Linked DNA regions of Lytechinus pictus. The protein of the gene in region 2 purifies or fractionates together with the protein of the main gene of each other region. This does not show direct contact. Links are inferred from orthologs where the notes say so. Each region holds a gene or a part of one and is shown on either strand. Other genes may lie near its edges.

Region 1 (7,325 bases), on a different chromosome or scaffold from region 2:
AGTGAGCATTGGTGAGTACGATTGATTTTGGTTTCAAAAAACCAAAAAACATTTCTGAATTCTTTCTAATACAGTCTTTTAATTGCCAAATGTTGCCAGATATGGATAAGTGTACAAATTACACAAACTTAGTGAGAAAAGTGAAGAAATTTTGACTTACCTTGTCGGGTTGAGTCGCTCGCGAGGGGTTGGATCAATGTAAACATGGAAAACTGCATATCGCACGAAAGAGAAAATAGTTTAGGTTAATGATATGCCGAGATTTTGGAAAACGACCCAATCACTTTTAAATGAGAATGGTATCAATTCGCACATGTCGAATCACCGATAGCTAGAGAAGCACCGCGGCTGCAGCAAAATCCTCCGCACACTACGTACAAAATATAGTACGAGCGCGAGAGCGCCATCTTGTGGTGAATGACGATGCCTATTTACAACCAACTGCGGTTTTCCACCGATCTCCGCACCTCAGAGGAAGGGAATCTACAAGTACAACTTACCATCAAAGGAGTACAGACAAACACCCCCCCCCCCCCCAACACACAAACACTCAACTCGCGTAATGATGTGCTGAATCACCTGCATGATTTACCCGTCAATTAAGCTCATATGTAATCACAACACCTCGAACATGAAAACGTGAAATTCAAATGCTACATTAGTGCCTAAAAATCGCACACGCCGAGATCTTCGCCTACACGTGATCGATTATTTGAAGTAATTTTTATGTTTTGGGCAAATTTTAAGATTTTAACAGTGAAAGGTTAAGGTAAAAGAGATAATTTCAAGTTCTCACCCAATCTCTATTCTTGATTTTCCCTCTTTCTTTTAGTTCTATTCACAATGGGCCGGCTAAAAAGTGTGCCGAATACAGCGTATTTCGTCGGGGCCGGAGTAGAGTCAGCCAACAATAAGCTAGCCAACAAGTACAGCAAGCCAGCCAACAGTTCCAGCCAACAATATCGCGATGTAAGATAGATCAGATACAGGATTTTGCGCACGAAGAGAAGCGTGCATTCTTGTACAAATCAAACAAACGGGGTCAGGGTGGGGTTTCCCTTCTTTCAATTTGTAAAGAAAAACAACGGGCTAGTGCTTTAATTTTAGTAGCCCACACCCCTATATACTCTATGTGTTTTCGTATATTGAGGAGTAAATTTCAACTAAAGTCCTCTTTATAAACTACAATTGGAAGATTGCTCCTGAAATATATTTTGGGTGTGTGTAGGGGGGTTTCCCTTCTTTCAATTTGTAAAGAAAAACAATGGGCTAGTGCTTTAGTTTTAGTAGCCCACACCCCTATATACTCTATGTTTTTTCGTGTATTGAGGAGTAAATTTCAACCAAACGTCCTCTTTATAAAACACAATTCGAAGATTGCTCCTGAAATATATTTTTGGTGTGTGGAGGGGGGTTTCCCTTCTTTCAATTTGTAAAGAAAAACAAGGGGCTAGTGCCTTCGTTTTAGTAGCCCACGCTCATATACATTCCTATATATTCCACGTTTTTATATATATTGAGGAATAAATTTGAACTAAAAGTCCTCTTTATAAAATACAATTGGAAGATTGCTCCTGAAATTTATTTTGGGTGTGTGTAGGGGGGTTTCCCTTCTTTCAATTTGTGAAGAAACACAACGGGCTAGTGCTTTAATTTTAGTAGCCCACACCCCTATATATTCCACGTTTTTATATATATTGAGGAGTAAATTTGAACTAAAAGTCCTCTTTATAAAATACAATTGGAAGATTGCTCCTGAAATATATTTTGGGTGTGTAGAGGGGGGTTTCCCTTCTTTCAATTTGTAAAGAAAAACAAGGGGCTAGTGCCTTCGTTTTAGTAGCCCACGCTCATATACATTCCTATATATTCCACGTTTTTATATATATTGAGGAATAAATTTCAACTAAAAGTCCTCTTTATTAAATACAATTGGAAGATTGCTCCTGAAATATATTTTGGGTGTGTGTAGGGGGGTTTCCCTTATTTCAATTTGTAAAGAAAAACAACGGGCTAGTGCTTTAGTTTTAGTAGCCCACACCCCTATATACTCTATGTTTTTTCGTATATTGAGGAGTAAATTTCAACAAAAAGTCCTCTTTATAAATACAATTGGAAGATTGCTCCTGAAATATATTTTGGGTGTGTAGAGGGGGGTTTCCCTTCTTTCAATTTGTAAAGAAAAACAACGGGCTAGTGCTTTAGTTTTAGTAGCCCTTACCCCTATATACTCTATGTTTTTATGTATATTGAGGAGTAATTTTCAACAAAAAGTCCTCTTTATAAAATACAATTGAAAGATTGCTCCTGAAATATATTTTGGGTGTGTGTAGGGGGGTTTCCCTTCTTTCAATTTGGCTACTAAAACTAAAACACTAGCCTGTTGTTTTTCTTTACAAATTGAAAGAAGGGAAACCCCCCTACACACACCCAAAATATGTTTCAGGAGCAATCTTCCAATTGTATTTTATAAAGAGGACTTTTAGTTGAAATTTACTCCTCAATATACGAAAACACATAGAGTATATAGGGGTGTGGGCTACTAAAACTAAAGCACTAGCCCGTTGTTTTTCTTTACAAATTGAAAGAAGGGAAACCCCCCTACACACACCCAAAATATATTTCAGGAGCAATCTTCCAATTGTATTTTATAAAGAGGACTTTTAGTTGAAATTTACTCCTCAATATACGAAAACACATAGAGTATATAGGGGTGTGGGCTACTAAAACTAAAACACTAGCCCGTTGTTTTTCTTTACAAATTGAAAGAAGGGAAACCCCCCTACACACACCCAAAATATATTTCAGGAGCAATCTTCCAATTGTATTTTATAAAGAGGACTTTTAGTTGAAATTTACTCCTCAATATACGAAAACACATAGAGTATATAGGGGTGTGGGCTACTAAAACTAAAACACTAGCCTGTTGTTTTTCTTTACAAATTGAAAGAAGGGAAACCCCCCTACACACACCCAAAATATATTTCAGGAGCAATCTTCCAATTGTATTTTATAAAGAGGACTTTTAGTTGAAATTTACTCCTCAATATACGAAAACACATAGAGTATATAGGAGTGTGGGCTACTAAAACTAAAACACTAGCCTGTTGTTTTTCTTTACAAATTGAAAGAAGGGAAACCCCCCTACACACACCCAAAATATGTTTCAGGAGCAATCTTCCAATTGTATTTTATAAAGAGGACTTTTAGTTGAAATTTACTCCTCAATATACGAAAACACATAGAGTATATAGGGGTGTGGGCTACTAAAACTAAAGCACTAGCCCGTTGTTTTTCTTTACAAATTGAAAGAAGGGAAACCCCCCTACACACACCCAAAATATATTTCAGGAGCAATCTTCCAATTGTATTTTATAAAGAGGACTTTTAGTTGAAATTTACTCCTCAATATACGAAAACACATAGAGTATATAGGGGTGTGGGCTACTAAAACTAAAGCACTAGCCCGTTGTTTTTCTTTACAAATTGAAAGAAGGGAAACCCCCCTACACACACCCAAAATATATTTCAGGAGCAATCTTCCAATTGTATTTTATAAAGAGGACTTTTAGTTGAAATTTACTCCTCAATATACGAAAACACATAGAGTATATAGGGGTGTGGGCTACTAAAACTAAAACACTAGCCTGTTGTTTTTCTTTACAAATTGAAAGAAGGGAAACCCCCCTACACACACCCAAAATATATTTCAGGAGCAATCTTCCAATTGTATTTTATAAAGAGGACTTTTAGTTGAAATTTACTCCTCAATATACGAAAACACATAGAGTATATAGGGGTGTGGGCTACTAAAACTAAAACACTAGCCCGTTGATTTTTGGCTCGAATGAATATCTATGGCCTGCCACTAGTGATTAGGTCCGTGTAGCCCTGACCCCGTTTGTTTGATTTGTACAAGAATGCACGCCTCTCTTCGTGCGCAAAATCCTGTATCTGATCTATCTTATATCGCGATATTGTTGGCTGGAACTGTTGGCTGGCTTGCTGTTGGCTGGCTTATTGTTGGCTCACTTGACATAGGCTTCGTCGGGACAACAAAGGCCAAAGGGAAGTCAATAATAATTAGTAGTCTAGCTATCTATACTGTTTCCCTTTTTGTAAGAAATAAAATGCAAATACTAAAGGAGTCAAATGGAAAATTATATCAAATACTAAGATTCTATCGAATTTGAATTACGAGTAGATCTAGAGTACTGTATTTTTTATATTTAGTTTAAATATATATTTTTTTATATCTGATCAGCATAATTAAAAAAAGGTCTAACAATTTAGTGTTTGCGTGATAAAGACTACCGGTACATGTAACATACATACTTGTCCGGCCCTAAAAAGGGGGTAAGGAGGAAGATGGCAGAACAAATTGTCAACAAATTGTCGAAAGATAATTTCAACGCAGACGAATGTAAGTATAACGTATTAATCGGTAAATTAGGTTACCTTTTCGCTCGGATGATCTTGGTTTGGTACTCAAATAAAAAGAATGAATGAGTGACTCCACCTCAAACTCGGTCTAGCACAGAGGAGACGGCATTACAGTTTCTGTCGTGTGCAATTTTTAATGAATGCAAGTGAATAGGCGATATCATGTTTCCATGACGTATGCATTATAATACTACATGAGCTAAATCGCCGGATCCGTGAGCTGAGTTGCACCGATCTGTATAGTTCAGTCAGCAAAATACCGCGATTGGCACATCAAGCTAACTTGAAGAGTATGCCACTCTAGGCGACACCGCAATACTTACCCGTGTTAATAAAGTGGGACTCCGCTCACGCGCGTTTGGGCCTCCCTAGCTTAGAACTAAGCACTAATATCACCTTAAATTAAAAACTAAATCTACAAGGTAGGCCTATGTATAATCTATTTAGTAATTTGATAATGTTTAAACGGTACTCACCAGTTCTTTTGATGTATTTTCTCCAGAATTCCCACGGATTTGTCCCAAATCTTGCGACAAACCACGTCGCGGTAGACAGCTGTACATTTTTTTTTATTTATAAATAAAGCGCCCCTTACGATAGTTGTTAACAACGCGGCCAAATCGTTAGGTTTTTTGCACTGTGTCCAAGGCTTTTTTATTTTGTTTGATTTTTTATTTTTTAATAAATATTTTGTTCAATAGCGATTTTTACGTCAAATATTAAATTTATATCACAAAATATTTTTTAATTGTAGAAATATACATAATATTATGCAATAATTTATTCTATATATATTTTATAATAAAATTTATAATTGTTGCGGTCTTTAAAAAAGGATAGTCGATTGATCAGGTGATGACCACACGTATCACTAACCCAGAGAGCTCCCGCCCGCGCAGCGGGCGGGAGCCCAGAAGCTTACCGTGTATTTTACCATTGCCACCGGACTAGGGTGATTTATGGTCTAAATATTTCTCCAAATGAATTGTGAAAACGGAAAGTATACAATTACCACGATTATATGGATGAAGGTCTAACGAGTGGCAGATTCCTGACATCTGGGCACAGTCTGGAACCTCAAAAAAACGAAAAGTTCTCTCCTTCTACCCAGTCTCGATCGGCCATTTTGTTACGATTTTTAACAAAATGGCCGATCGAGACGGGGTAGAAGGAGAGAACTTTTCGTTTTTTTGAGGTTCCAGACTGTGCCCAGATGTCAGGAATCTGCCACTCGTTGGACCTTCATCCATATAATCGTGGTAATTGTATACTTTCCGTTTTCACAATTCATTTGGAGAAATATTTAGACCATAAATCACCCTAGTCCGGTGGCAATGGTAAAATACACGGTAAGCTTCTGGGCTCCCGCCCGCTGCACGGGCGGGAGCTCTCTGGGTTAACGTATCACGTGATCTGAAAATCAGCTTCATACCGCTTTGATCGCACTCGACGGTGACCGGACTGACTGCCAAAAAAAGATCGAAAAATGACTCAAATGTAAGTTTCCCTTTATTTTATTAAATTCAAATTAGGAATAGGAATATATTCAATGGGCAATCTTTTAATAAATGATAAACAAACGAGGACAAAACTCATATTTTGGGAGTAATATCATACTTGGGTGCAGGAAACAGTACGGTTAGAAGTTCTAACCTGTTTTTAACGCATTGTCGCCTATGAGGTCCATACATGCTAATGTTTGGACCTCATTGGTACTAGGAGTGGAGTATGCTACGTTTGGAGTGGCTCGAAGTATTATTAATTGATTTTTAATTTATTTGTGAAGAAGTAGAGTAAAGTGCCCTAATATCGGACACCCAGTCTGGCTGGTCCCAGTTAACATAACATGGACCAGGTTAAGCACCTGGCCTGGCCCTGGGGCCCGTTTCTCAACACCGTCATAAGTCTAAGTCTAACTTCTTGACTAAATCGAAGATAGTGAGCTACTTGTCCGCTAACCGTTTCACGAAGCCCTCTTTGCCAAGATCGGGGACAACAACCTCACTAAATATTTATGACACCTCCGAACCTGTCATAACTTATTTCGTAATGACATAGTGACATCACGTGGGTAGACTATGACAGGCAAAAGTGCCTCGAAATTTGAAAATTATAATCTTACGTAATCATTCATAGAAGTTGAAATTACATTGCAAAACAGGTGAGATACATGTAGATCATTCAAGACAATAATAATTGTAATGCACAGAAAGTTTAAAAACTGTTGGTAAAACGCAACAAAACCATTCATTTTGAAAAAGTAAAATAATTGAATCGATAAAGATTCTACCATGTCAGGTCATCCATAACTGGACTCGTATTCGTTGTTTTCAGACCCTTATCAACATTTTGATAAATTCTATCTCTAATTTATGCAAAGAATTTGTCAAATCGTGTGTTTCGGTATATAAAATTATAAAAATTTATATGTTAAACTATATTTTGATGATGTTTGGAACCATAAATAAACGTATAATTATTATTATTTTACAAAGAAAACAATTGTTGTTTACTTTCGTAAGCTATCAAAATTTAGTATCCCGGGGATACCCATCTCAATGTCCACATGTGATTTTTTAGTCATTAAATGAATTATTCATAATTTCATTTTCTCAGCAATTGAATGCTCCAGTCTTCATGGTTTAAGTATGCATGGTACATATTTTGCCTCTGCTATCATTTTGATTAGATGTATTTCCAAATTAATCACAATAATTGCAGTTTTATCGTATTTTTGCTTTAAAAAATAATGCTATTTTATGACTAAGGCTACGTCTCGTCTGCTCTTTCTACCGATATTATCGATATCAAGGGATACTAGTTAGGAAGCCCTTCGTGAAACGGTAAAAAATTGTAAGATTGGAACTAACTCCGTGGTCGGT
Region 2 (6,987 bases):
CCGGAGCAGGTGTGAAATAATTTGTCTGCTGATAGACTGAAGGTACATGTATGTACATTAAAACCCATTTCATTTTTCTGAGAAAATGACATTTTTCAATTCACGATACATGGGAATCTGCTCACATATGATATCACAAATAAAAAATTCTAATAAATTTTTAAATCTTTGATTGATTTTCCCCAAACCTTCACCAATATTTTTCATTACTTCTTTCTGTTATATTCACAATAAACTTTTTGTTGGGTGAACCTCCCCTTTAAAGCGACCTTTCATTGACAAATAATGGGGAAATCAAGGCTAATCTCAGAACAGAGAAGGAATTCAAGCCTTTCACTTGGCTGCATGCCTGGGAGTTTTATGTAATAGACGCCGTTATGTCTGGGAGGTCGACTGTATAGCTGAGCAATAGTTAGTAGACTAACCGACCAGACGTAAACTGCGTGTTTTCACTTTGAAACATGTAATTTCACAGAGGTTATTAGCAATCAAGAGACCTGCTAAGAGTCTAGGAATTGGGATTGTTGGAAACTAGAACTGCGATGACCCGAAGTAACGATCGCGAGTTCGGTCAAATTTAAGCTGTCCTGACTTTTACACATTAGTCCGATTGGCTCTCATGACCGACGGATTATCTTATGTAAGTCAACTGGCCTTTTGCAAATTTCGTATTGATTCAATTTCCCCCTGATTTGTCAATTGCAACGTTACGCGACGCTCGCGTCCGTAACGTTGGGGAAGTACAATAAGAAACAAGATGGCGGCGTAAACATCGGGCAAGTCTCTTCCGTCTTTTCACGATATTTTTCTCATTTTTTTTATGAATTCTTGTTTAAAAATAACAACGAGAGCGTAGAAATGTCGGAAATGAAGTTTTATCCCATGTACATGATTTAGAGCTAGATCTTTTAGAAGGAAAGTAGAAATCTCGGGGGTGAAAGTTTCAGGTTTTGGGGTCCTTCGTGTAGGTGAATAGGAAGGACTCCCTGGCTTCATTGAGAGTAAGCCTACGTTAGTAAATGATTTTTACTCTCAAGAAGCCGCCTGGCTAAGTCAGACTCACTGATCTGTGATTCGTGCTGGATGGCAACACTGAGGGAAAAACAAAGATGAAACACTGTCTCCAAAGTTACGGACGCTAGCGTCGCGTAACGTTGGGGAAGTACAATAAGAAACAAGATGGCGGTGTAAACATCGGGCAAGTCTCTTCCGTCTTTTCACAATATTTTATTCATTTTTTCATGAATTCTTGTTTAAAAATAAAACCGAGAGCGTAGAAATGTCGGAAATGAAGTTTTATCCCATGTACATGATTTATGGCTAGATGTTTTAGAAGGAAAGTAGAAATCTTGGGGGCGAAAGTTTCAGATTTTTTGGCGGTACACGCAGATGAATAGGAAGGAGTCCCTGGCTTCATTGAGAGTAAGCATACGTTAGTAAATGATTTTTACTCTCAAGAAGCCTCCTGGCTACCCAAGACTACCCCAGGCTACCTTGGCTCAGGCCTGGATTTTGAAATTAAAAAAGAGCCCTGGCCCACTCACACTATTGCGAGGTTAGTATATATGCTTTACGAACCTCGCACAACCAACGTGTTTTTGTAGTGGATTTTAGAGTTGTCGTTAACATCGCTTCATAACGTGAATGATATTAGCCGAAACCATTCCGCTACTCACCAGGGCTTTTTCTGGTAGAAAGCGTTCCTTTATCAATTTTTAACATATTTTTTAATTTTAAAAAAAAAAAGAGCAAAATCGCTTACCTCCGCCTGGAAAGTGGCTTCGCACGTCTCTTCCACGGAAATAAAAGGAAGGTCGTTGGTGGCGCTAATACAGTTCGCAACCTTAATTCAGCTTGGTGGTATTTTTTAAACTAGATTCATGATTTATTGTATGCGCAATTCCAATAATTGTTTGATAAAATAGAGACCCCAATAAATGCAATAACTTAAAAAACATACTTTTTTATTATTTTTGCTGACGATAATACTTTTTGGAAAATATTCAAAACGATGACAAATTAAACAAAAAATGTAGAAAATTCTATGTACCTTGAACAAAGCCCCGCAAGTGCTACCGTTCGTTTGTCAATTAACGTTCCACCAAAGTCTTTACAGTAAAAAGATTGGAAACTTTGCCGACTTCGCGTAATGCTTTGCATCGATTTACGTGTAAGATAATTTCTGTGTCTAGTCTTTCAATTGTAGTGTCTTTGATATGAAGATAAATCGCGCGCCCTCTCTCGCTCATTAGACGAAAAATTTGAGAGCTAGAAAGGTGGCTTTCGTATTTTGTCAACGAGAAGAAAAATCAACGCTTGAGTTAAATGACACATTTTGAGGGATATTCATCAAATTATGAGGAATTGACTTCACATCGTTTTGTAAGTTTCGTAGGAGGACTTCATTCTGTAAGTCCTCGTATTAATTTTTCATAAATTAACGTTATTTGTTGAAATAATGCGCCGTGCCTTCAATTATTCTGTAGTCGGCAGCTGAGATGTAGCCGTGGGTGCCCTGGCCTGGAAAATCCCAGTTTTTTAATTGCCATATGTGGAGAAATCATCGTAAAATTGTATATATTATAAAGGATAATCCTACTTTTCAGACCAACGCCATAACTGCTACCCTTGTTTACAACGTGGCACAACCAATGCAAAATATCCAGCGACTAAGCTCATGTGCATTTAGCACTATGCTATCACGAAAATGTGTCAGAAGACTATGCGACCAGTGCACACAAGAATCGCGTGCGCCTGTGATACCTGTGTGCCGATTATGGCTGATACAAAGTTTTCGTGTCTCACCTTTAACATGTTTTCAACACGTTTAGAAGCCGATTCAATGGCATCTATTTCAGCCTTTCCAAAGTCCTCACCAAGCATGATGAATATAGATAAAAATGATAAAAACTGAGAAGAATGACCGCCAGAAATACCCTTTTTATTAGGGTAAATTTACTCGACCCCAAAATTAAAATAGTACACACCCCGATATGGTATCGTAAAAACAGCCTAGTTCGAGAAAAAAAAATGGGGAATAGGGGTAAAAAAATTAGTACATGAGCATTTTTGTATGTTTTGTATTTTCGCTGATATGTTGATTTTCTTTTAGTTCGTGTAGCTGAAAGAAAATTTTACCAAAAGGAAAAAAGAAAAGCTGAATTTTATTGCATTTCATGTACAATCAAATTACCTAATAATATACTAGTAGTCATCAATTACCCGATGACTGGGGTAGAGGTCGATCATATTTTGGGGGCGAGAAACTGGACAAATACAACAATCGGTTGCTTCATATATATATTTTTTACAGTCATTTACAATATTCACTTATGCTCTTCAAACACAGTGACGAATAAGTATCAAAATAAAGGGTAATTATCATGCTTCAAAGTGACTTTATTTTGAAAATAAAAAATCGTTACAGAAAACACTCAGGCGTGTCCTAAGGCCCCTCTCTCTCTCTCTCAAACTGTCAATTTATAAAGTCAAATGAGGGTTTTGCCATTTGTTTTTTATTATTATCATTTTATCATTATCTTAATCCCTCTTGGCTTGAGGTCTTTTACTGGCCTTACTTACACTAACTTCCCTTTGTGTCTGCCTACTCCTTTTCTTTCATCCCCTTCACTAACCTGATTGGTCTTCTCTACTCACTAATGCCCCTTTTGTCTCCTTGTTTCTAGTGTTGCTGTAGCTTGTTTGTGGTCTATATTATGGTTGTTCCACTTTATATGTTTGTCATTTTGCCTCCGACGAAGATTCTGCTAGGATCGAAAGCTTAGGCCCCTTTTTTACTTTCTAATTCGTTTTTTAGGGTTGACTCTGTGCGTTTCATAATATTTCATTGGTTTTTAGTAAAGAATCTTTTAATATTAATTGATCATTAAACAACAAAAATCACTTCTGAAGCAAACTAAGATACCCTGGTGGTGAAATAATTGAGAATTTTCATATTTTCAAAACTTACTGGTCAAAGGTTTAATGTCTCTTTTTTTTTTTTTTTTTTTTCTTCTTACATTTTATCTTTGATAATTCAATTATACCATTCAAAATGATCCTGAAGTTAAAGGGGAATCCAACCCAAATAAAAACTTGTTTTTATAAGAAAAAGAAAAATCAGACAAGTTGATAGGTGAAAGTTTGAACAATATTGGACAAACAACAAGAAAGTTATGAATTTTTAAAAGTTGTAAATATTGGTAATCACTATACCCATGGAGACTTCAAATTGGCCGCATATGGGATGTCATAGTGATGTAAGGCAAGGACTACTCTTCCATGTACTCCAATACATATTATGGCTAAAATGTCATTTTCCCCAAAAGTTTTATTTCAAATTATATTTTTCTTTCATGAGGACATAAAACAATATACTACCTGGATTATAATTAGATTACTGCCCCAGGGGAATGGGTACGTAGAAGAAAACCACAAATCCCTGATAATAAAGTACATGGCTTATGGGAAAGTTGTCCTTGCCCCTTGTCATAATTTACTTACCCAGTTGCCAATTTGAAATCTACATACTATTAGTGATCTCAATTTTAAAGCAGCTATAATTTTCTTATTGCTTGTCCGATTTCTTTCAAACTTTCGCCATTCTGTTTAATTTATTTTTTTCCTTTCCAACACAACATTTTATGGCCAAAGCTGGATTTCCCTTTAAGCATATCGTTTCGGTGAACAAAAATAATAAAAGAGAAAACAATTGTGATAATTGAAATCGAGATGAGACCACAGACATAGAGGACAAGCACATAATACCTTGTAAACAAAAAATGCCATTTCTGTATATATGATTTGATTCTCGATGAGTGTGGGCCTAAATTATTTTTCTTTACAAATGTAAAAATAAATGAATTTGAAATTTGAATTTGAAGTTGATTTCGGAATTTGAAACTATGAATATAAGCCATAACTGCAGGCCTATCACCTATGTGCCAAATATAAAAAAAAACCAATGTCTCACCTTACCTCACTTTCCTTATATTAGAAGTACAGTGGGAGGAGTATTAGAAGGAGTAATAGTAGCAACAGCAGTAGTAGTAGTCAGTGGCGGACCGTGACCCGGAGGAGACAAAGCATTGGAGGGGCACAGCATTGTTCACAAACAATTCAGTGCCCCCCCCCCCCAATGCCTTGTCTCCTCCGGGTCACGGTCCGCCACTGGTAGTAGTAGTAGTAGTAGTAGTAGTAGTAGTAGTAGTAGTAGTAGTAGTAGTAGTAGTAGTAGTAGTAGTAGTAGTAGTAGTAGTAGTAGTAGTAGAAGAAGTAGTAGTATTAGTAGTAGTAGTATAGTAGTAGTAGTAGAAGTAGTAGTAGTAGTATAGTAGTAGTAGTAGTAGTAGTAGTAGTAGTAGTAGTAGTAGTAGTAGTAGTAGTAGTAGTAGTAGTAGTAGTAGTAGTAGTAGTAGTAGTGGTGGTGGTGGTGGTGGTGGTGGTGGTGGTGGTGGTGGTGGTGGTGGTGGTGGTGGTGGTGGTAGTAGTAGTAGTGGTGGTGGTGGTGGTGGTGGTATAGTGCTAGTAGTGGTGGTAGTAGTGGTAGTATAGTATTGGTAGAAGTAGTAGTAGTAGTAGTAGTAGTAGTAGTAGTAGTAGTAGTAGTAGTAGTAGTAGTAGTAGTAGTAGTAGTAGTAGTAGTAGTAGTAGTAGGTATAGTAGTAGTAGTAGTAAGACTACTGTAGTTGTAATAGTAGCCACGGGAGAAGCCAGTAGCAGCAGAAGTATATCTTGATCTCTAATAACAAATTTTACAGAGTAATAGAATAAAATAAAATAGAAAAAAACCTTATGATATTTAGGGACAACTAAAAATTGTTAATAATCAATGGATAGGCGAGTTATGCAGGGGCCACGAAAGCGGGGGTTGGAGCCGGGGGATTAACACCTCTCCCCCACCCCCCCCCCCCCCCTCCGTCCCCGCCCACCAATTTTCAAATTCAGATTTTATACGATACATGTTCAGCCCCCTTATACTTCCTCAAGTCGTTCCATATAGCCCACCACCCATGTTTTGATAAAATCATTTGTATCATGCTTTAATCATTGACAAGAGATATTTCTCTTATTTATGAAGCTAATTTAATCCCGCAAGCTATATCATATCGATATAGCGCCATCATAAAGGCGAAATGTTTCTTTACACTTATTGATGCCCAATTAATCATGGGAACAGAAAAAATATCAGGCAGTACAGAACAACAGAAGTAAGATAAAATAAAGGATATTTCCAAAAATAAACACCGCAATGATTTAGTTTTAAGATTACCAATGTCTATTTTCAACAGTTATTGAAATTCAGTCGAAAATAGTCCATGATATGCGGTTTAGGCCTAGTCTTCGCCAAAAAAATTGTATATCGTTTTCAAAATATCTGCCTATAAACGATAATTTATCTACTCCTTTGTCATAATATAAAAATAATCACTTCCTAATATTAAATATTATCTGTAAAGTCGTTCATATATCGGTATGAAATTATGTGATACAGCATAGGCGGATCCAAGGGGACCTGAGGGGCCACCCCCCCCCCCCCCCCCCCCCCCATGGGCGGAGCAAAAACAATGACAAAAAGGGGGGAAGAAAGAAAAAAAAGAAGGGGAAAGAAAGGAGGAATACGAGTGAATAAAATAAGGTGATGGGAAGACTTGGATAATGTTTAAAAATATCTTTCATGTCACTGCATTAAATTTTCGCTCGCGCTTCGCGCTCGCATTGCCTGTTTGATGAGATATATATCTTGCTCAATATGTAGCTTAAAATATCAAGTTTTGAAGCCAATATGCAAAACATATTTCAGCTCGGACATCTAGCTTTCATTATTTTGTTTGATTTACAAATTGATTTTTTTACGTGCTTTTTAAAATGTCCGTTTTATAGTGTGAATATCAACATTCTCAGCTTGCGCTGTGCGCTCGCGTGATTTGATTTGCCAAGTAGGACTACCTATTGTCGTGTCTTCCATAAGTTCTCAAAATATCATTT
Region 3 (7,152 bases), on a different chromosome or scaffold from region 2:
GTTGCGATTGTGTGCAACATATATTGTGACCAAATGACCGCAAACGATCGCAAGAGCGATTGTGAAAGCCCCTTTAAGGACATAGGTATATAAACATTCATGGTAGTGGGTCACCTGCACACACTTTATCTCAATCTCAGAACTATAACTTTTCCAGGCATGTTTATAGCGATCTGACTGATATCTTCTTGACGAGAACATCTACCAGGCTAAATGGAAAGTAAGGTTGTATTTGAATTTTTTCTTTTACTCTCCAAAGGCCAGTAGTCTTAAGATGATAGAGATGAGCTGGCCCTGAATACTAAAACTTCTAAGGCACGAGAGTGAAGACACCAGTGTTTAAGCTCTGAACATTAGCTATTTGGCTGCTACTGCATTATATAGATAAATAATGGTAGTAAAATACGAGCTGTGATTGGCTAGATTGGTGCCACGTGATCTCATTTCAAAAAGTTGTACAATATAACTTTTTATTTTTGGAGGGTAAACCCTGTGTTAAATGATTGGGGAGAATATCGATTAATGGTAATGTGCATTTATCCGGTTAGCCCTGCGCGTCTGCATTTACTAAGAGCATGCAATGCATTGAATCTTAATTTTTATAGTGACGTCACCTTTTCCTGACCCAAGCAAGAGTGTACCTTATGGACAGTAGGGGAGACCGGGGTTAGTTGGAACGCGGGGTAAGTTGAAACATTGTAATTTTCTTTAACATCTTTAAATAAATTTCTGCAATACTGCCCTCAATTTATTGTCATTATCAACAGCCATCCACCATATTACAGACAACACGTGTGCAACAAGCCTGGTGAAATTAGAAAGGAATTTTTGTTTTTTGACCTTCTGAGTAATTTTTTTCTCTTTCAGAAATGTTTTATTATCTCAGAGAAGTTTATAGATCAAGTTGGCCAGTTTGGGGGTATAATAGACTCTTGTACCAAGCTACAAAATAAGGAAGCAGAATCTTGTATCCTTATTTTAGACATAATAATATAGGATTTGTATAGCGCACATATCCACCTTGCTAGGTGCTCAAGGCACTCCTATATTACCCCGGCTAAGCTAGTCTACTGATTCTGGTGCGCACAGCTTTTTGAGGAATTACTTCTTGCCGGTACCCATTAACCTCACCTGGGCCGTGTGCAGCACAGTGTGGATAAATTTCTTGCTGAAGGAAAACACGTCATGGCTACGATTCGAACCCACAAACTTCTGTTTGAAAGGTGAGAGTCAGAACCACTAGACCATGACGTGCCCACTGCATAAACTGCACATTAACTTGGCCACATTTTGGGAAGGTTAGTAAGATAATTTTCTTCACTTGATAAAGAGTTGCAGCGGCACTCGAAAGCTCGTGAACTTGTAAGCTAGTGAACACTTTTTGCGAGAGTGATCACAAATTTCCTAGAAAGCTAGTGAACACTTTTTGCGAGAGTGATCACAAATTTGTTGACCATAGTAGATTGCGAGACAAATGAATACCCTCTAGCGATCGATTAAGAACATTATTATTCACTTGTACACAACCACCCATGGGTGCATTACTGCCGCCGTGTACAGGAAAATTGAAGGCACGGCGCATGCAAAATTGCAACAAACTCCCGCAAATTTCATAAGAGGATTTACAGAATCAAGTCCTCCTACGAAACTTACCAAACGATGTAAAGTCAATTCCCCCTAATATGATGAATATCCCTCAAATAGCGTCATTTAAGAGTATAATTTTCTTCTCGTTGACAAAATACGGAGCGAGCTTGCGATTTCCCAAATTTGCGTCTAATGAGCTAAAGAGGTCGCACGATTTATCTTCATATCAAAGACACTACAAGGGAAAGACTAAGCACAAAAACTATTTTACACGTAAATCGATGCAAAGCGTTACACAAAGTAAGTCGGCAAAGTGTCCAATCTTTTTACTGTAAAGACTTTGGTAGAACGTTAATGACAAACGAATGGTAGCACTTGCGGGGCTTCATTCAAGGTACATAGAATTTTCTATATTTTTTGTTTAATTGTCGCTTTGAATATTTTCCAAAAAGTATTATCGTCAGCAAAATAATATAAAAAGTATGTTTTATAAGTTATTGCATTTATTGAATATTGGTGTCTCTATTTTATCAAACAATCATTGGAATTGCGCATATACAATGAATCAAGAATCTAGTCTAAAAAATGCCGCCAAGCTGAATTAAGGTTGTGAATTGTACTAGCGCCACCAACGACCTTCCTTTTATTTCCGTCGAAGAGACACGCGAAGCCACTTTCCAGGCCGAGGTAAGCAATTTTGCTCTTTTTTATTTTAAAATTGAAAATGGAACACTTTTCACCAGAAAAAGCCCTGGTGAGTAACGCCAACGGAATGAGTTTCGGCTCACATTATTTGTGTTAAACTGTTATGAAGCAATGTTAACCGACAACTAAAAAATCCACTGCGTAGACACGAATCGTAGTGCATGGAACCTCGCAATACTTGTTAGTGAATAGTGGTATGGTACACAACTGTCTTCACAAGTGCTTGCGTACAAATGGACAAGAGGTTCCCTAAACAATTAAGCCAAAATTAAATTACTCCCAAATTGTTGTTAACTAAGTTTGGAGTGTTTGGGCATTCTAATTCTGACTCGATTAGTAATTAGTTAGGCCTATAGTCTTATGCTATTAGTTACCATGATACAGTCCACTGACTGGATCACCAAACTCACTGTCACTGTTTCATTCATTAGATACGACGGTACCTTATTCATTTCAATCATATTGATTACAAACAACAAAAAAACGTCACACTGACAGACTTCACTGTTCGGAACTCGAACCTAGAAATGCAAGACAAATATTATACTTTTTACTTCATCAAAAGGTCAACTTACAGCAAATTCTTTTAAAGAAGACATCTTCTTTTAGATTTAACAAGTTAGAGGTAAGACGAAGAATTAATGATGTTTTCAACGACTGATTTTCGCGTCTGCTTCTCACTCCCAAATGCAAGCAGAATCCCGGAAGACATTTTATGCGAGGGGAGCACTATAATTATAAAGCTTTGCCCAAAAGAGGGAGACACTACTGATTACTGTGAGTCGAGGTCAAGTGGTCTGTCTGATCCTTTCATGCCCCCGGGTTCAGACCTAGTATATTTATTCGGGATTTATCTACAAATTAGGATACCCTGTGGTATAGTGTGCCCATAATTCATGGCCCTGGGAAGCGGGGGTGCGGGGGTGAAGCACCCCCAAGATTTTCGTAAGGGGTGCTGGGTGTTTTATTCTCCATACATGTAGGAAGCACCCCCGGGAGGGCGTTTCATGAAAGTACTTGTCGGACGTTTTATCCGACAAGTCCCATTTTATCCGACAGTTACCATAGTAACAGTACCTCTCAGCCAATCAACATCAGAGAAAGATGTCAGATCTGACAACTTGTCGGATGAAAATGTTGATGAAACACTCCCCAGGAATTCTGGTAGGTGTGGAAAAATAATTAGTAGTGAGCCCCCGGCCCCCTTTTTTTTTTTTTTTTGCTTGTCAAATTTCTCTTGGACAAAATGACCTTCATGTTGTCGAGAAGCCTTTATTTTTTCTTTTTTTTAATTGCTTTTCAAATTCTCTGGACCTAGATGATCTTTCCAGGAGAATTGGTAGTCTAAAGAAAAAGAAGGAATAATTTATGTTTTTCATTTAATTTGTAGTGAAAACCCTTTTTGTTTTTATTTTTTTCCTTGTCAAATTTCTGTGCGACAAAATGACCTTCGTTTTGTTATATAACTTTTTTTTCAAATTTACATCGACACCCCTAGTAAAAAAATCATTCCCAGGGCCCTGCCATAATTCATTACTGAGAATAAGCATATTTTAAATGACCCTTTTTACCACCTTGACTCGTACAGGCCTATTATACATGCTGCCTTATAGACCCGTCTCTCTCTGTTAGTGTCCGTCTCTTTCTCAATTAGCCATTTCCCTCTAGTTTTCTTCTCTAGCTGTAGCCCCCCCCCCCTGTCGATGTCCTTCTGTCTTTCTAGATTTTTCTCTATGCATTCATCTGCACCCTTCCTCTATAAACCTCACTACCTATCCCCCCCTTCTCTAATTTATAGAATAAAACAAAGTAATAAAAGAATATATAAGCATGAAAGTTTCTACCATATTTTTATTGATATTGATCAAACATGTGGACTATCTACCAAGTATACATGTACATTCTAAAAAAAAGTATACATGTACATATACATACATATTTATGTACTTATATACTGTACTTGGTAGATAGTCCACATGTTGTTTCTCTCCCCCCCCCCCTCTCTCTCTCTCTCTCTGACTCTTTCACACTTTTCATATAAATATTTGCTGTTTTAGTTGTCATGCAACTAGCTCATCATCAATGAAACACTAACATTTTTTTTATTCATGTTGTTTATTTACAAAGTACAATAAGTTAAAATTCAAAGTTCATGTAGTATGATACAACATTACAAAATTGTGATCAAAGCATAACATACATTATCAAATTAGATTTGATTTGAAATAATTTGAAAAATGGCCATGATCATGATGAGTGTATAAGGCAATAAAAATATATCATCAATTTCAAATTGGTGCATGTGTAAATTTTCATGTACAAAATATAAATTTGCATCACAGTTTAACATAGTGATACATGACAGTGTATACTCCATATCAACAGTTTTTACAAATAAAAATCACATTTCTGGCAGATCATAAAAATACTTTGTATTTCATGAGTTAAGGACACTTGAATCATATTGACGACTTGTATGACAATCATACAGAATTTCTAGATAAAGCTTAACTTTATCAAGAATTACATACGGATTACAAGTTGTATTATTCAAGATCCCAAATCAAATACTATCTTTAAAATGTATCTATTTGTGACATAAAAAAAAAAGATTCTGAATATATAGGCCTAAAGGCTTTAAATCTCTTTTATTGATATCCAATGATGAAGACAGGTTGAAAGTCTACACTCTAAATTTCATGTATTAAAAATAAATCCAGATGTCGGGTGTAGGTGAGTTTTGAACAATGACAAGCTGCTGCTTGGATCCAGGCGAGGCATTTTTATTTTTAAATTGAGACATGCCTCTACAAGAAAATTAATTTTGGAATCCCTCTGTTATTATTTTCAAGATCTGTTATTTTTTTACTAAATCCAATAATGGATATATTGTCTTTAGAAAATTAATTTGTCATAATGCACAAAATAACAACAAATATGCATTCATAGAACAGAAAGCAATATATATAAACATCATAACTCTATGGAGATGGTCAAGATGAATATGTGAAAAATTAAAAAATATATGCATCTAACAAAATTCAGAAAGGTATCTATTTGCACTACCCATAATGAATGAAGGAGGGAAAGAGAGAGAGTAAGAGTAAGAGAAAGATATAAACATATTTTCTTTGAGTGAATAAGTAAAATCACAACATAATAACTAGAATCACTTGTAAGATATATATCTGACGGATTAATATCTGTGCATTGTATACATCTTTACAACACAATTACTCAAAACAGGAGGATATGGATAATCATATCTATCATTTAGGTTAAACATACAAGGATATTGTTAACCTGAACACAGATTCTTGTCCAAGAATCAGCAATTGTTTGAGGTTTTTATACTGTATTATGATATTCAAATATCAATCCGAACTAAGAAAGGCTAGATAGGTAATATTTTGTCAATCAAAGGCAGATGTAATGGCACTTTGTAAAAAAAAAAAAAAAAACCCAAAGCATGCTGATTGGTTGAATTGATAAGGCATAGTATTGCTTGGGTTAATAGACCTCTTATCTCAAAATCACTTATTTATTGTGAAGAAACAGATGACCAACTGAACACCAAAAGATATATACTGTCTAAGGTCTCTCTCTCTATCTTACAAAATGAAGCTACAACATCACCCCAAAGAAACAACTCGTTATTTCTGGTGTTATGGCATCAATGCTTTGTAACTTTCTTGAATATTTCAATTTTGAGTTACATAGTTTGTCATTTCAGGAGCAATACACCTCTCTGAAAGTTACGTCACTCAGCAACACATATATTCTAGATGGTGAATTATGGCTGTGATGGCTTTCCATAGTTTTTTTTAATAAATAATTTCCAATTCTTTATGCAGCTCATCATGATAAAGTTCCTTGCTCTTGATCCTCGTTGGGTTTCATCTCAATCTCCTTTCCATATTCTTCCACTTTACCTTCTTCCTCCTTCACCTCTTCTTTCACTTCACTCTCTGCTGACATGTCCTCCGATGTTGGTTCTGTACCACTCAGAGACTTCATCTCTGCTTCGGACTTCTCCTCCGTTTTTTCCTCTTTCTCCATCCCATCTTTGTTATCACTTTCATCTTCATCCTTCTCACCCTCTTCATTCTCAGGAGTCTCTTTCTCTGCAGATGCCTCTCCTTGGGCCTCCTTATCCTTCTCCATTTTCTTTTCCTCCATCTTCTTCTCTTCCTTCTCTTCATCCATCTTGGCTTGATCTTCCTTTTCAGTAGTTGATTTCTCCTCCACCTTCTTCTTGGTCGGTGGTTGTGCTTTTGAGGTTTCTTTTGAGGGTTGGGCTGGTTTGGGTGGAGTCGCCTTTCGTGGGGGTGTGGTGGTTTTCCTGCTGATGGCCGACGCCCCTACTCCAGTCTTGGTTCCAGGAGCTTGTCTGGACTTTCCAGAATTTCCAGGAGAGTTGGTAGTCTAAAGAAAAAGAGGGAATATTTTATGTTTATCATGATTATGATTTAAAAGAGATGGAACTAGACAGCTTCAATATTAAGCTCACAAGGTTAATTTTTGTAATAATCTGATACAGAAAATCATCAATTTAAATGAAATAAAAAGCTTTCATATACCAATCATGTAGTAACCTTCACAATAATTATTATGGAATGGTATTTAAGGAGTATGAATAATAGAATTACAATTTGATATTTTCATGAAAGAAGATTAATTAGTATTTTTTCACATCCACCTGTCTATTTGCAGGAAAGTAAAAAGTTTTATTCACTACAGGTTTAGAAAAAATACCTTTTTAATAGACTAATTAATTACCTGTTTAGACTTTGCTCCTGCTGATCTGTTTGGAGATCCTGGAGTACCCTTTCTGGCGTCATTGCTCTTTAGGGTACTCTT

Evidence for each region. Proteins that work in one complex are often made in the same cells at the same time.
Region 1: the proteins of exocyst complex component 3-like (region 2) and exocyst complex component 8-like purify together in Homo sapiens (affinity purification with mass spectrometry; 5 studies listed by BioGRID and IntAct, counting the BioPlex papers as one, with this or other methods). This does not show direct contact. The link is inferred for Lytechinus pictus from reciprocal best matches to the Homo sapiens genes EXOC3 and EXOC8.
Region 3: the proteins of exocyst complex component 3-like (region 2) and exocyst complex component 5-like purify together in Homo sapiens (affinity purification with mass spectrometry; 7 studies listed by BioGRID and IntAct, counting the BioPlex papers as one, with this or other methods). This does not show direct contact. The link is inferred for Lytechinus pictus from reciprocal best matches to the Homo sapiens genes EXOC3 and EXOC5.

The regions. Positions count from the first base shown.
Region 1 is NC_087258.1:23,503,477-23,510,801, reverse strand, and holds the start of exocyst complex component 8-like, read left to right. Parts: upstream 1-4,302; 5' UTR 4,303-4,368; coding exon 4,369-4,423; intron 4,424-7,325. UniProt on the Homo sapiens protein: Component of the exocyst complex involved in the docking of exocytic vesicles with fusion sites on the plasma membrane.
Region 2 is NC_087245.1:22,446,138-22,453,124, reverse strand, and holds the start of exocyst complex component 3-like, read right to left. Parts: upstream 3,014-6,987; 5' UTR 2,884-3,013; coding exon 2,806-2,883; intron 1-2,805. UniProt on the Homo sapiens protein: Component of the exocyst complex involved in the docking of exocytic vesicles with fusion sites on the plasma membrane.
Region 3 is NC_087251.1:13,169,329-13,176,480, reverse strand, and holds the start of exocyst complex component 5-like, read right to left. Parts: upstream 3,024-7,152; 5' UTR 2,892-3,023; coding exon 2,868-2,891; intron 1-2,867. Other genes in the region: neurofilament medium polypeptide-like, read right to left, coding at 6,151-6,717, 7,072-7,152. UniProt on the Homo sapiens protein: Component of the exocyst complex involved in the docking of exocytic vesicles with fusion sites on the plasma membrane.